Linked DNA regions of Macaca fascicularis. The protein of the gene in region 3 interacts with the protein of the main gene of each other region in a biochemical or structural test. Links are inferred from orthologs where the notes say so. Each region holds a gene or a part of one and is shown on either strand. Other genes may lie near its edges. The genes, in order: STAT1, MCMBP and MCM5.

The links.
Region 1: the proteins of MCM5 (region 3) and STAT1 form a complex in vitro, tested with the Homo sapiens proteins (2 studies listed by BioGRID). The link is inferred for Macaca fascicularis from reciprocal best matches to the Homo sapiens genes MCM5 and STAT1.
Region 2: the proteins of MCM5 (region 3) and MCMBP form a complex in vitro, tested with the Homo sapiens proteins (2 studies listed by BioGRID). The link is inferred for Macaca fascicularis from reciprocal best matches to the Homo sapiens genes MCM5 and MCMBP.

What each region holds. Positions count from the first base shown.
Region 1 is NC_088386.1:86,678,451-86,682,101, forward strand, and holds part of STAT1 (signal transducer and activator of transcription 1-alpha/beta), read right to left. Parts: intron 3,582-3,651; coding exon 3,540-3,581; intron 2,323-3,539; coding exon 2,239-2,322; intron 1,667-2,238; coding exon 1,568-1,666; intron 454-1,567; coding exon 318-453; intron 1-317. UniProt on the Homo sapiens protein: Signal transducer and transcription activator that mediates cellular responses to interferons (IFNs), cytokine KITLG/SCF and other cytokines and other growth factors.
Region 2 is NC_088383.1:128,850,717-128,854,367, forward strand, and holds part of MCMBP (mini-chromosome maintenance complex-binding protein), read right to left. Parts: intron 2,643-3,651; coding exon 2,509-2,642; intron 1,348-2,508; coding exon 1,183-1,347; intron 1-1,182. UniProt on the Homo sapiens protein: Associated component of the MCM complex that acts as a regulator of DNA replication.
Region 3 is NC_088384.1:16,247,783-16,251,433, forward strand, and holds part of MCM5 (DNA replication licensing factor MCM5), read right to left. Parts: coding exon 3,606-3,651; intron 1,632-3,605; coding exon 1,503-1,631; intron 218-1,502; coding exon 75-217; intron 1-74. UniProt on the Homo sapiens protein: Acts as a component of the MCM2-7 complex (MCM complex) which is the replicative helicase essential for 'once per cell cycle' DNA replication initiation and elongation in eukaryotic cells.

The DNA.
Region 1 (3,651 bases), on a different chromosome or scaffold from region 3:
TCTTTCTCATCCAGGAACTTATTTCAGTCACAAATAATATATTTTACATAATTCATAAAACTTTCCCTTGGGAATCCATCCCAGAAATCTTAATATGAGACAATGAGGAAAGGATTCATTTAAATGTTATCAGGTCCATATTTCTTTCTAAGGTGATATATGATTCTCACTTAGCTATAATAAACTATAGCTTGAAAAGCTAACAGATTTTAATACTTTTTTACCTTTAACAAAATAGCAGAGGGGAAAAGAGCAATTAGAGAGGTATTTTTATGAATTTCAATTCTTATAAACGTAACAAGTTAATATGCATATACCAAGAAGCTTCTCTCCCAACATGTTCAGCTGGTCCACATTGAGACCTCTTTTGGTGACAGAGGAAAACTGCCAACTCAGCACTTCTGAAAGCTGAGCCCAACGTGCACATGGTGGATTCAGGAAGAAGGACAGATTCTAGAGAGAAAACACCCAAAATCGAAGGGTTACTACAGAGACACCAGTCACAAGTGTGGCACTAAAACATATGTCCATCCCAAAGTTCAATTCTAGTTTATGTGACACACAGGTGCTTTCACAGTAGGGGAAGAGAAATACAGTCAATTTTCACTATTTACAGATGCACATTTGTGAACTTGTTTACTCACTAAAATTTACTTGTAACTCCAAAATCTAAGCACATGACGTCTTTGGGGTCATCTGAAGACACACCCATGCACACAGCAGCAAAGAATTTGAGTCTTTTAACACTTATGTTTCCAACTGAAGCCAAACAAAATGACACTCGCTTCCTGTTTCAGCTCTCATAAGAAAAACGTGTCCTTTTTGAAGCCTATTTAGTGCCATGTTTTTGCATTTTGTGATTGCTGTTGGTGATCACTGTTTAAAATGGTGCCCAAGCATAGCGCCACAGTGTGGTATACTGTTCCTAAGCACGGGAATGCTGGGATGTGCCTTATGGAGAAAATACATGTGTGAGGCAAGCTTCACTCAGGCGTGAGTTACCCAGTAATCCTGACTATAGGTGTAATGTTAATGCCTCAGCAAGTATATTAGATAAGGTGTCTTTAAACAGAAACACACATAAACAATGTTATGCATTGATGGGGTGACAAAAATGTTGTGACCAGAGGCTTGAAGGAACCTAGCCTTGTAGTTCCCTTAGGAGCAACAATTCATTATTTGCTAATTAAGTGTTCCTGGTAACTTCAAAAAACATAACTACTTTGAATAATGATAATGACTATAATTAATTAACAGTGAGTATCCACACTCTTAAGAATGGAGCATGCTTGTTTAGTAGATGTACACATTTTAAAAATAATAATGATGAAGTGGTATGGAATCACTGAGTGCCCTAGCTTACTCACATGGCAGAAAAATCATAATTCTCATTTCAAATACATATCCATGCTTCACATTCCCAGATTTACTCAAAAGCCTTAGAAATACCACAGGAGCTTTGTCACTTCTCCCTCAACAACTGGCCATTGGGGCTATTTCAGAGATGCAGCAGCGAGAGCATGGGGTCTGCTTAACCCTGGGACCAAAGCAAATGTATTTTCCATACCCTGGGTTCCGCCACCAGCATGTTGTACCAAAGGATGGAGGCCCAACCACTCGGGAGCTGGCTGACGTTGGAGATCACCACAACGGGCAGAGAGGTCGTCTAAAGGATGACAAAGACCTTGAAATCATCTGAATCACAGAAATGTCACCTTCAGATAACTGCTTAGCCTCAACTAAAAGCAGGGGATTATTTGTAAATTTGTACATATTTAATACTTGAAAATGAGAAATGTTAAGTTCTGTTCTTTTGTCCAGTTTAATTTGTCTTTGATATATCTTTCAGTTAAGAAATAAGTCCCTAAAAATAATAATAGCTACAATAACTAATTAAGGGGTATGCAATATGAGAAGATGAAAATTGTCACAATGAAAACACAAAATGTGGAGGGAGGGCAGAGGAAAATAAATAAGTCCTAATGCTTACTGTAAAAAAAATTAACATCAGCTATCTCAACTGGAACATTTAAGTTATAGAATTTGAAGGTTAATTCAATTCTCTAGCTTTCTGGACCATAAATTAAGGTTAAGGTAGTAGTAGCTGAAAAATATCATTTTTAAAACAATTAGGTAAATATCTCTAAAACAAAAACTGAGAAATAAAAATACACGTAACAATTAAAAGTAAAAATAATGAAGTTTTCCACCTCAGGACCATAAAAATAAAAGTCTTACCTCGAGGTCAATTACCAAACCAGGCTGGCACAACTGGGTTTCAAAACTAAGGGAGTGAAGCTCTTCAGTAACGATGAGAGGACCCTTGGAAGAGAAAAGGAAAGAAGAAAAGAATATAACCACTTATTCACAGATCCTGAAACTTTCAAAAGCCCAATTAACATTGCAACAGGCCACAGAGATCCTGGACCCAACCAGCAGCAAGTCCAAAGACTCAATATTGAATCCCTTCCAGATTTAATGATTCTGAGTATCAGTGTGCTCTGAAAGATAAGTGCCTGAAGTTATGGCAAGGATTATAGATTCAGAGCAATAAATGTCAATGGGGAAAGAGCAACTAATGGCTTTGTGACCTAAGGCTTCTCAACCCTCAGCTCTGTCTGCCTGCCCAGTGTGGCTGCACATCTCAATGCAGATGGGTGGGGAGGAGGTGAGAGGGCTGGGAGTAAGTGCACACTTGGGATTGTCTACTGCCTACCAGAAAGGCTGACTCACATCAACTTGGTAGGTCACAAGGTGCTTTGGTTTTGGTAGAAATGGATAGATTTCAAAGTGCCTTCATAGACATTACCTCATGAGAACCTCACAACTTAGAACTAGAGAGGTACAACTGCTAGACGCAGGGAGGTCAAAACAGTTCAGGTGCACACCAGGGCTAGAAGGCATCTTTGCACTGCCTGGGCCTGTGTGTGTCCCGCTGCTCCATGTGACCTCCACTGGTCCTGGTGTGGAAGGACTGCACGCTGTGTGTGCATAAAGGACGAAAGTGTTCTAAACCAAAACAACTCCAGATATTTCATCCTTTGTCCATAGTTCATTTCTGAATGCATCACAAACCCAACTTCTTAAGGATCACGTTGTAGGAAGGAAACTGATGCAAAGGCAATGCTTCTGGTAGGGGATGCCACGGCCAAAAAGCCCTCTTGGCACACAGCAAGGCAGTCATCAAAGTGGCCTCTCATTCCAACTCTGACAGTAACTCTCTGTGCACCCTTAGCTAAATCCTGCAAACTTCCTGTGACTCAATTTCTTCACCCGTAAGATGCGAAGAATACAAAAGCCCACAATAGCTACTCCACTGAGTGTCCAATGAATTTGTGTGCAAAATCGTTTGACAATAGTAAAGTACAAATGTGGTGTTTTTACTGTTGTCACAGATATACCAAGTACCCAGCTCACTTGCTGCTCTTCCCTGCTGGGTCTGAACTCCTCTGTGAGGTGTCCCCAGCCACCAACTGACCTGCCCTTGCTAGACAGACCTGCCTGATTTGGGCCCATTCACAACATAAAGAGACTCTCACCTCATTCGTTCTGGTGCCAGCATTTTTCTGTTCTTTCAATTGCTATAAAACAAATAATCATCTTATTAAACACCATGGTAATGGTCAAAGTTGCTATCTTCATTTACAAATG
Region 2 (3,651 bases), on a different chromosome or scaffold from region 3:
TAGTCAAAACTGTCAAAAGCCAGAGAATCTTGAAAGCAGTGACAGAAAAACGACTCAGTGTGTACAAAGGATCCTCATCAGAAACTAGCTGGCTTCTCAGTAGAAACAAGAGGCCAGAAAGTGGCGGGAGCACATACTCGAAATGATGAGACAGACTATAAACCAAGAATTCTACATCCAGCAAAACTAGCCTTAAGGAGAAATTAAGACATTCCCAGATAAACAAAAACTTAAAAGAGGGCTGGGCGTGGTCACTCACACCTCTAATCTCAGAATTTTGGGAGGCCAAGGACAGAGGATCACTTGAACCCAGGAGTCTGAGACTAGCCTGGGCAACACAAGGAGACCCCTATCTCCACATACACATCAAAGAATTAGCTGGGCACACTGGCACATGCCTGTAGTCCCAACTACTCAGGAGGCTGAAGTGGGAGGATCGCTTGAGCCTGGGGGGGTTGAGGCTGCAATGAGCCACGATCACAACACTGCACTCTAGCCTGGGTGACAGAGCGAGACCCTGTCTCAAAAAAAAAAAAAAAAAATTTTTGCACAAGTAGACCTGCCATGCAAGAAACACTAAAGGCAGTTCTTCGAGGTGAAATGAAAAGATACTAGGCAGTAACATGAACCCACATGAGGAAATAAAGGTTGCTGGTAAAAGTGACTGCATAGGCAAATAGAAAAAATAGTACAGAAGTCTTCTCTGTTTCTTTTTTCTCTAAAATTAGACAACTGCAAAAGCAGTAATTCTAAATGTGTTGATGTACATACAATGTATAGAGAGGTAACTGTATGACAGCAGCACAAGGGAGAGGAGAAGGACGGAATTATAAAGGGGCAAAGTCTTTGTATATTATAATTAAACTAGCATTAGCCACACAAATTTTTTTAAATTAAAAATAACTAAACAAACTGGCATTAATCCTTAATAGATGATTATACTAACATGTTAAGTTTATCCCCCTGGGGCAGCCACTAAGAAAGTAACTTCAAGGGATTAAAATGGGACACTGGAAAATATCTATTTCAAACAAAAAGACAATAATGGAGTAATAGAGTAATAAAAAAAGACATGACAGAAAACAAATAGCAAAATCACCTCATCAGTAATTATGGTAAATGTAAATTGGCTGCATACTGCAATTCAACACAGGGAAATCCTTTATTTTAACCTAGACATACCTTGGTTATTTCATCAGATATGCTATATTCCAAGAATCTCAAAAGGGTTAAATAAATGCGGAATTTGTTCAGCACGGAAGGCAGCACCGCTGAGAGAAGGCTGTTCATGTATTCTTCCATGTTTGGTGGAATTAGCTGGGGCTGTAAGTGAATCTGGCAGTCTGCCTGAAAAGAGAAGAAGTACACTGTATTTTCTGAGTTCCTAAATTAAATCTACATTTTTAAAGAAAGATGCATCATCCCTGTCAGCCCCTACAGGAATTAGAAAATACCATTTATTATTTAGGGGGAGGGAATAATTTTTTTTTTTGTATGTGTGCAAGACAGAGTTTTGCTCAGTCGCCCAGGCTGGAGTGCAGTGGTGTGATCACAGCTCACTGCAACCTGCCTCCCAGGCTCAAGCGATCCTCCCACCTCAGCCTCCTTAGTAGTGGCACCACAGGTGCATGCCACCACACCTGGCTAATTTTTGAATTTTTTGTAGAGACAAGTTTTGTCACATTGTCCAGGCTGGCCTCAAAGTTCTGGGCTCACACAATCCACCTGCCTTGGCCTCCCAAAGTGTTAGGATTACAGGTGTGAGCCACTGCACCCAGTGAGAATCTATTTTTAGTATTACTTTACATGCTTTATAACTACCTCAGAAATAATTATGAAAGTTAGCTTTTTCTTGGTTACTTCAATGGTATCAATAAGCACACAAAAATGTAGCCAACCTCTAAAAAGCAGCTAATTAAAAAGGCCTATCACACTTGCACACAGAGAACATATCCTTGAGCCATTTCATTCTTATCAAAGACTGTTTCTCATCAATCACAGGTGAATACTATTATACAGAGACTATAAACCATTTGACAACTGGGAGCATTTCCCATCCTCCTTAGAATTAAAAGCGCTCTTTACCAGCCGCTCTGAGGACATAACAGAGCATTTCACTGTAAAGCATGAAAATAACTACCAAGTAACCAAGGACATTTTCAAAGGAACTCTAAAATATTTTTCACATAAGATTAGCAGAAAACAATGGGTCAAAGGCAGCAAGAACAGAAGTCTGGAGGTTAAAATCAGGCAATCTTGCTATGCTTTGATGTGGGTGTTTCTGCTGCCAACAGCCTTGCTGGTCTCATGACTTGCTGATATCTGAGCTTGGCAGATGTAAGGTTTTCATCCATGGCAGTGCAAAATACTCAGTTCCCTTAATGATCAGCAGTCACAGTTTTTTTTTACAACAAATGTAACTTATTAATAAGCGGTACCAAGAAATAGCAAAAACGTAGGTATTTTTCCCATGTCAACCTCCCTCCATTTAAAAATGACTCATTGTACCGGGAGGAGTGACCTCCCCTCCGAAGTAATGAGAACGTTGATATTGCAGGGGAATTCCATCTGATGGTAGCTGAAGTCATAATCCACCTTCTGCCACGTTATGAGGTTGCTCAGGGCAGTTACATTATGAACACCTACGAAGGCAGGAAAACACTTTCAGTCATTTGACTTTAATCATCTCAACAAATCAGTTTTGCTGACACCAATGATAAGCCATGAAGTTTCTACCGCTTTTAATAAAGGGTATGAGGCGCTGTCCAATTTACTAAGCTAAACATCACTAAGTGTGTAGGCTTACAACACTCTTGGTCAAGGTAGAACTTTATGGGGCCAGGGGATCCCCCCACAAATCTAATACCTAGCATCTGGTATGCACCTAGACATAAAATAGTTCCCAAGCAAGCACAGTTATTTCTAAGTGGTGTATTTACAGGGCTAAAATAAGGAAACACTAAAACTACCTTCATACATAGATCAGCCTAGTGAATTTTACAGATTTTATATTCCCCTTTGCCTTAAACGTGCCCAGTCTACCTCATTTTTTCTTCTACCTTTACCTCTTGAGCTGATCACCAGCAGTATATTCTTAATTGTCTTCATTTGAGCACTAGTAAACAATCTGCTTCTTATGATTTTATAATATATTCTATAACTGAGGTTAGTGCAAACCATTTGATTATTTTTCAGATATTCTCTGAAAAACGTTTAAAAACTTTACAATGGGAGGTTAAAAAATAATTAGCCAGGCATGGTGGCGGGCGCCTGTAGTCCCAGCTACTCGGGAGGCTAAGGCAGAATGGCGTGAACCTGGGAGTTGGAGCTTGCAGTGAGCCGAGATTATGCCACTGAACTCCAGCCTGGGCAACAGGGCAAGAGTCTGTCTCCAAAAAAAAAAAAAATCTGTTAGATCAGCTTCTTCCCATTTCAGTTTTTTAAAAAGCTATTTGGGGCAGGTGCAGTGGCTCACACCTATAATCCCAGCACTGTGGGAGGCCAAGGCAGGAGGATCACTTGAGCCCAGGAATTCAAGATCAGCTGGGCAACATAGTGAGACCCTGTGTCTACCGTTCCTTACACTCACTGAATGAAAAATTTTAGGTTATATACAACTACACAAAGAACCCAACATTGTAGGCCCATACA
Region 3 (3,651 bases):
CCAGAGCCCTGCCCACAGAGCTCTGAGCCAGGGAACCCAGAGCAACTGAGACCATGTCCCCTGCATCTGCTCACCTGACAGGGTACCAGACAAGGCAGCATCCAACGTGGACACTTGGAAGAGCCGCAGGGCCTCCTCCACATCTGCCTCTGTGGCGAAGGGCTGCAGCTTCATCTTGCTGAGCGATTCCGCGATGCGCACAATGGCCTCCAGCTGCCTGTGGGGGCAACAGCGCGCTCAGGGTAGCCTCGGTCTGCTATTCCCTTCCTCCCCAGCCACCCTGTTACCAGGGAGGTGCTTGCCCAAAGTGTTAAGACTGTGGTGGAGACTGGTAGGTGTCCCTATAATCCATCTCCCTTTTGATCTTAGTCATAGCACTGCAATTTTTTTTTGAGACAGGGTCTCGCTCTGTTGTCCAGGCTGGAGTGCAGTGGCATGATCATAGCTCACTGCAGCCTCGAACTCCTGGGATCCAGTGATCCTTCTGCCTCAGCCACCTGAGTAGCTGGGTCTACAGGCACACACCACAATGCCTGGCTAATTTTTTATTTGTTGTAGAAACAGGAGTCTTGCTATGTTGCCTGGGCTGGTCTCAAACTCCTGGCCTCAAGCAATCCTCCTGCCTCAGCCTCCCAAAGTGCTAGGATCACAATGTAGGCCACTGCAACTAGCTTGGAAACCCAGTTTTTAGACTGGCACACAGCAATCCACTAAGACACATCCAGACATCTTTTGTACCAGGTTGTATTTGTGACCATACTATGGCCAATAAGTTGTAAGCCCAAGCATTGTGTGGGAATTCATGAAGTGCCCTTAAAAAGGGAACCTCTCTTTCCTTCCTCTCCTGCTGCCTGGAAGTGATGGCTGAAGTTCCAGCAGCCAACTTGGACTAAGAGTAAGGGGGAACTTGAGAAGTCCTCACACCAGTCCCATACCATCTTCCTCCAGACAGTGCTACAGAAGAGAGAAATCAACTTCCTATTTCTTTAAGCTACTTTATTTGGATTTACCATTACTTATAGCCAAATCCATTTCCAACCAGTCAGTGCTGGAGACAGGATTCAAACCAGGTAAATCCCAACTCTTACCCACTGTACTGTCTACTAAGTCACAAGAATGAACAGAGTTAGGAGCTAAAAACACTGAGGGTCAGAGAAGCAATGAAATTTCCCTATAGTCACACAGTGGGCTAGAGGCTGCGACCCAAGACTCCTGACTCCTAGGCCTGGGTCCATCCCTCCCTTCAGGCTTCCTGCAATGGGAGAAAAGCCAGGCCAAATTCAGACAAGAGGGGTCCTGGTTTGCCCAGCCTTAAATCAAGGAAAACAGATCAATGAGATCAAGGAGGCCATAGCTTATGCTCCAAAGGGACTCTTCCCGCCCAGAGCTACTGTGGGCCTGTGCCAAGTGAAAAACCTGGACACTGCCCCTGGTTGCCAGGCACACCCTGCCGTGTAAAGCAAGCCCCACCTGCCCCGGCCCCGCCCTGCCCGCCTGCTCACCGCACAGTGATGGGGATGCTGGAGCGGCGGTCACTGTCCCTCTCATGCTGACGGGCCCCGCTGCGCATGATGATGTAGCGGTTCTTCAGTTTCTCTGCAGCTTCTGCTGAGAGCCGGGGGCCACACTTCCTGCAGGACGGGAGGGAGAGGCTGCTGTGAGGCCAGCAGGGACTCTTAGGGCACCTACCCTTTCCCCCAGCCCTCTGCCGGCTTCCAGACATGCACCTTCCCACCACACCACAGCTGCCCACTCACATGGGCTGGAAGACAACAATCGGAAGAGATTTAAGTGAAATCTGGCTATGGGCAGCTGCCACAAAGATCAACACTGGGGAGAAATATGGGTGCCTCTCTTAGAAAACAGGTGAAGAAAAGCCAGGCACGTGTGCAGGGTGAAAACCACCTCTTCCCCGTTGTTAGACGTTGTGTGGTGTCTTGCCACAAGGTCCCCCATACATGTAATTAACAATGGCACAATCACAGTGGCATGGAGGCCCACTAGGTGGTGGGCTTTGCAGCAGTCTCAAACTCCTCCACCCAACACATCTGAAGACACGACAAGCTGATGACACCCACAGGAGGCTTGGCAGTGACTGTAGTCCAGGGGCTGGGAGCACCTCGGACTTTCCTGGGAGGGTAGGTGTGGGGAAGTCTGATCAGCATCTACCCTACCCCATCCCCTCCCCTCTAGCCCCCAGGTCAAATGACAATCACTGATATACCGAAAGCCTTAGCTCAACCATCCTAAGGACATGGAGACTGAGGCCCAGAGGGAGGGAGGGAACTCCCCAAGGCTACCTGGGGACTTAGTGCAGAGGGAAGATTAGCATCCAGGGCTCCCTGACTCATAGCTGTGGGCACAAGCCTCTCAAGACTGGGCCATACAGAGCTCAGACTTGGATGAAGACCCAGGGACTATCCACTCACTGTGTCAGAGGTGCTGAATCAGGGATCTACCAGGCCCCCACTGGCAGTGCACTCAAAGAGCCCTCGACCCCTGGGTTTTAGCTTCTTCAAAAGATCACCAAAGCACTGTACGCCAAGAATCTAAGCACTGTGGTCAAGAGCACAGCCTCTGGAGGCAAGCAGCTGGGTTCACATCCTGGCTCCACTACCTCTGGCATGTGACCTTGGACAAGTTACTTAACTTCCTTTGCCTCAGCTTCCCCATCCACAAAGGGAAGGGAATAATAGCACACCTAACCAGGTAGGTTTTGGGGGAGGGTTATAATTTATTCATATAGAAAGTACTGAATAATAGTTCAGAATGCCTGGCACAGAGAAAATAGCGTGTGAGTGTGTGTGTGTGTGTGTGTACACATACATATATATATTTTTTTTGAGACAGAATCTCACTCTGTTGCCCAGGCTGAAATGCAATGGCATGACCTCAGCTCACTGCAACCTCTGCCTCCTGGGTTCAAGCAATTCTCTTGCCTCAGTCTCCCGAGTAGTTAGGACTATAGGTGTATACCACCACACCCGGCTAATTTTTGTATTTTTGGTAGACACGGGGTTTCGCCATGTTGGCCAGGCTGGTCTCACACTCCTGACCTCAAGTGATCCACCTGCCTTGGCCTCCCAAAGTGCTGGGAGTACAGCATGAGTCACTGCAACTGGCCAGTGCTATGTATATAATTATTATTATTGAAAATGTGAGAACAATCAAGTTGTAGCTGCCACTCACTGAGTATTTACCCAGGGCAGGACTATGTCAAGCACTTATTAGCAAACATCGGCCTGGGGAAATCAAGGCTCAGAGAGGCCAACCAACTTGCCCAAAGTCACACAGTGAAGGCGGGTATGACCCAGAGCCCATGTCTACCATGTCTACACTTCACTGCCTCCCTGCATGTCAGACTCGAGGAGGTCTTCAAGACCATCTAATCCCACCTGCTTGGTGTGGAGATGGAAAAACTGAAGCCAAGAGCCAGTGAGCAGTGCAAGGTGAGAAGGGAGCAGAGCAGATTCAGTAGAGCTGAGGACCTCAGAACAGCAACATCTGGGCTGTTCTTCATGAGGAGGAGCAGGACAGGGGAATGGGTTCTCCCACCCAGGGAAGCTGGGCAACCTCACCCCCGTGGGCCTGCGTCCAGGACTCACGCTCGGCAGTAGGCAATAAACTTCTTCAGCTTGGCCAGGTCGATCT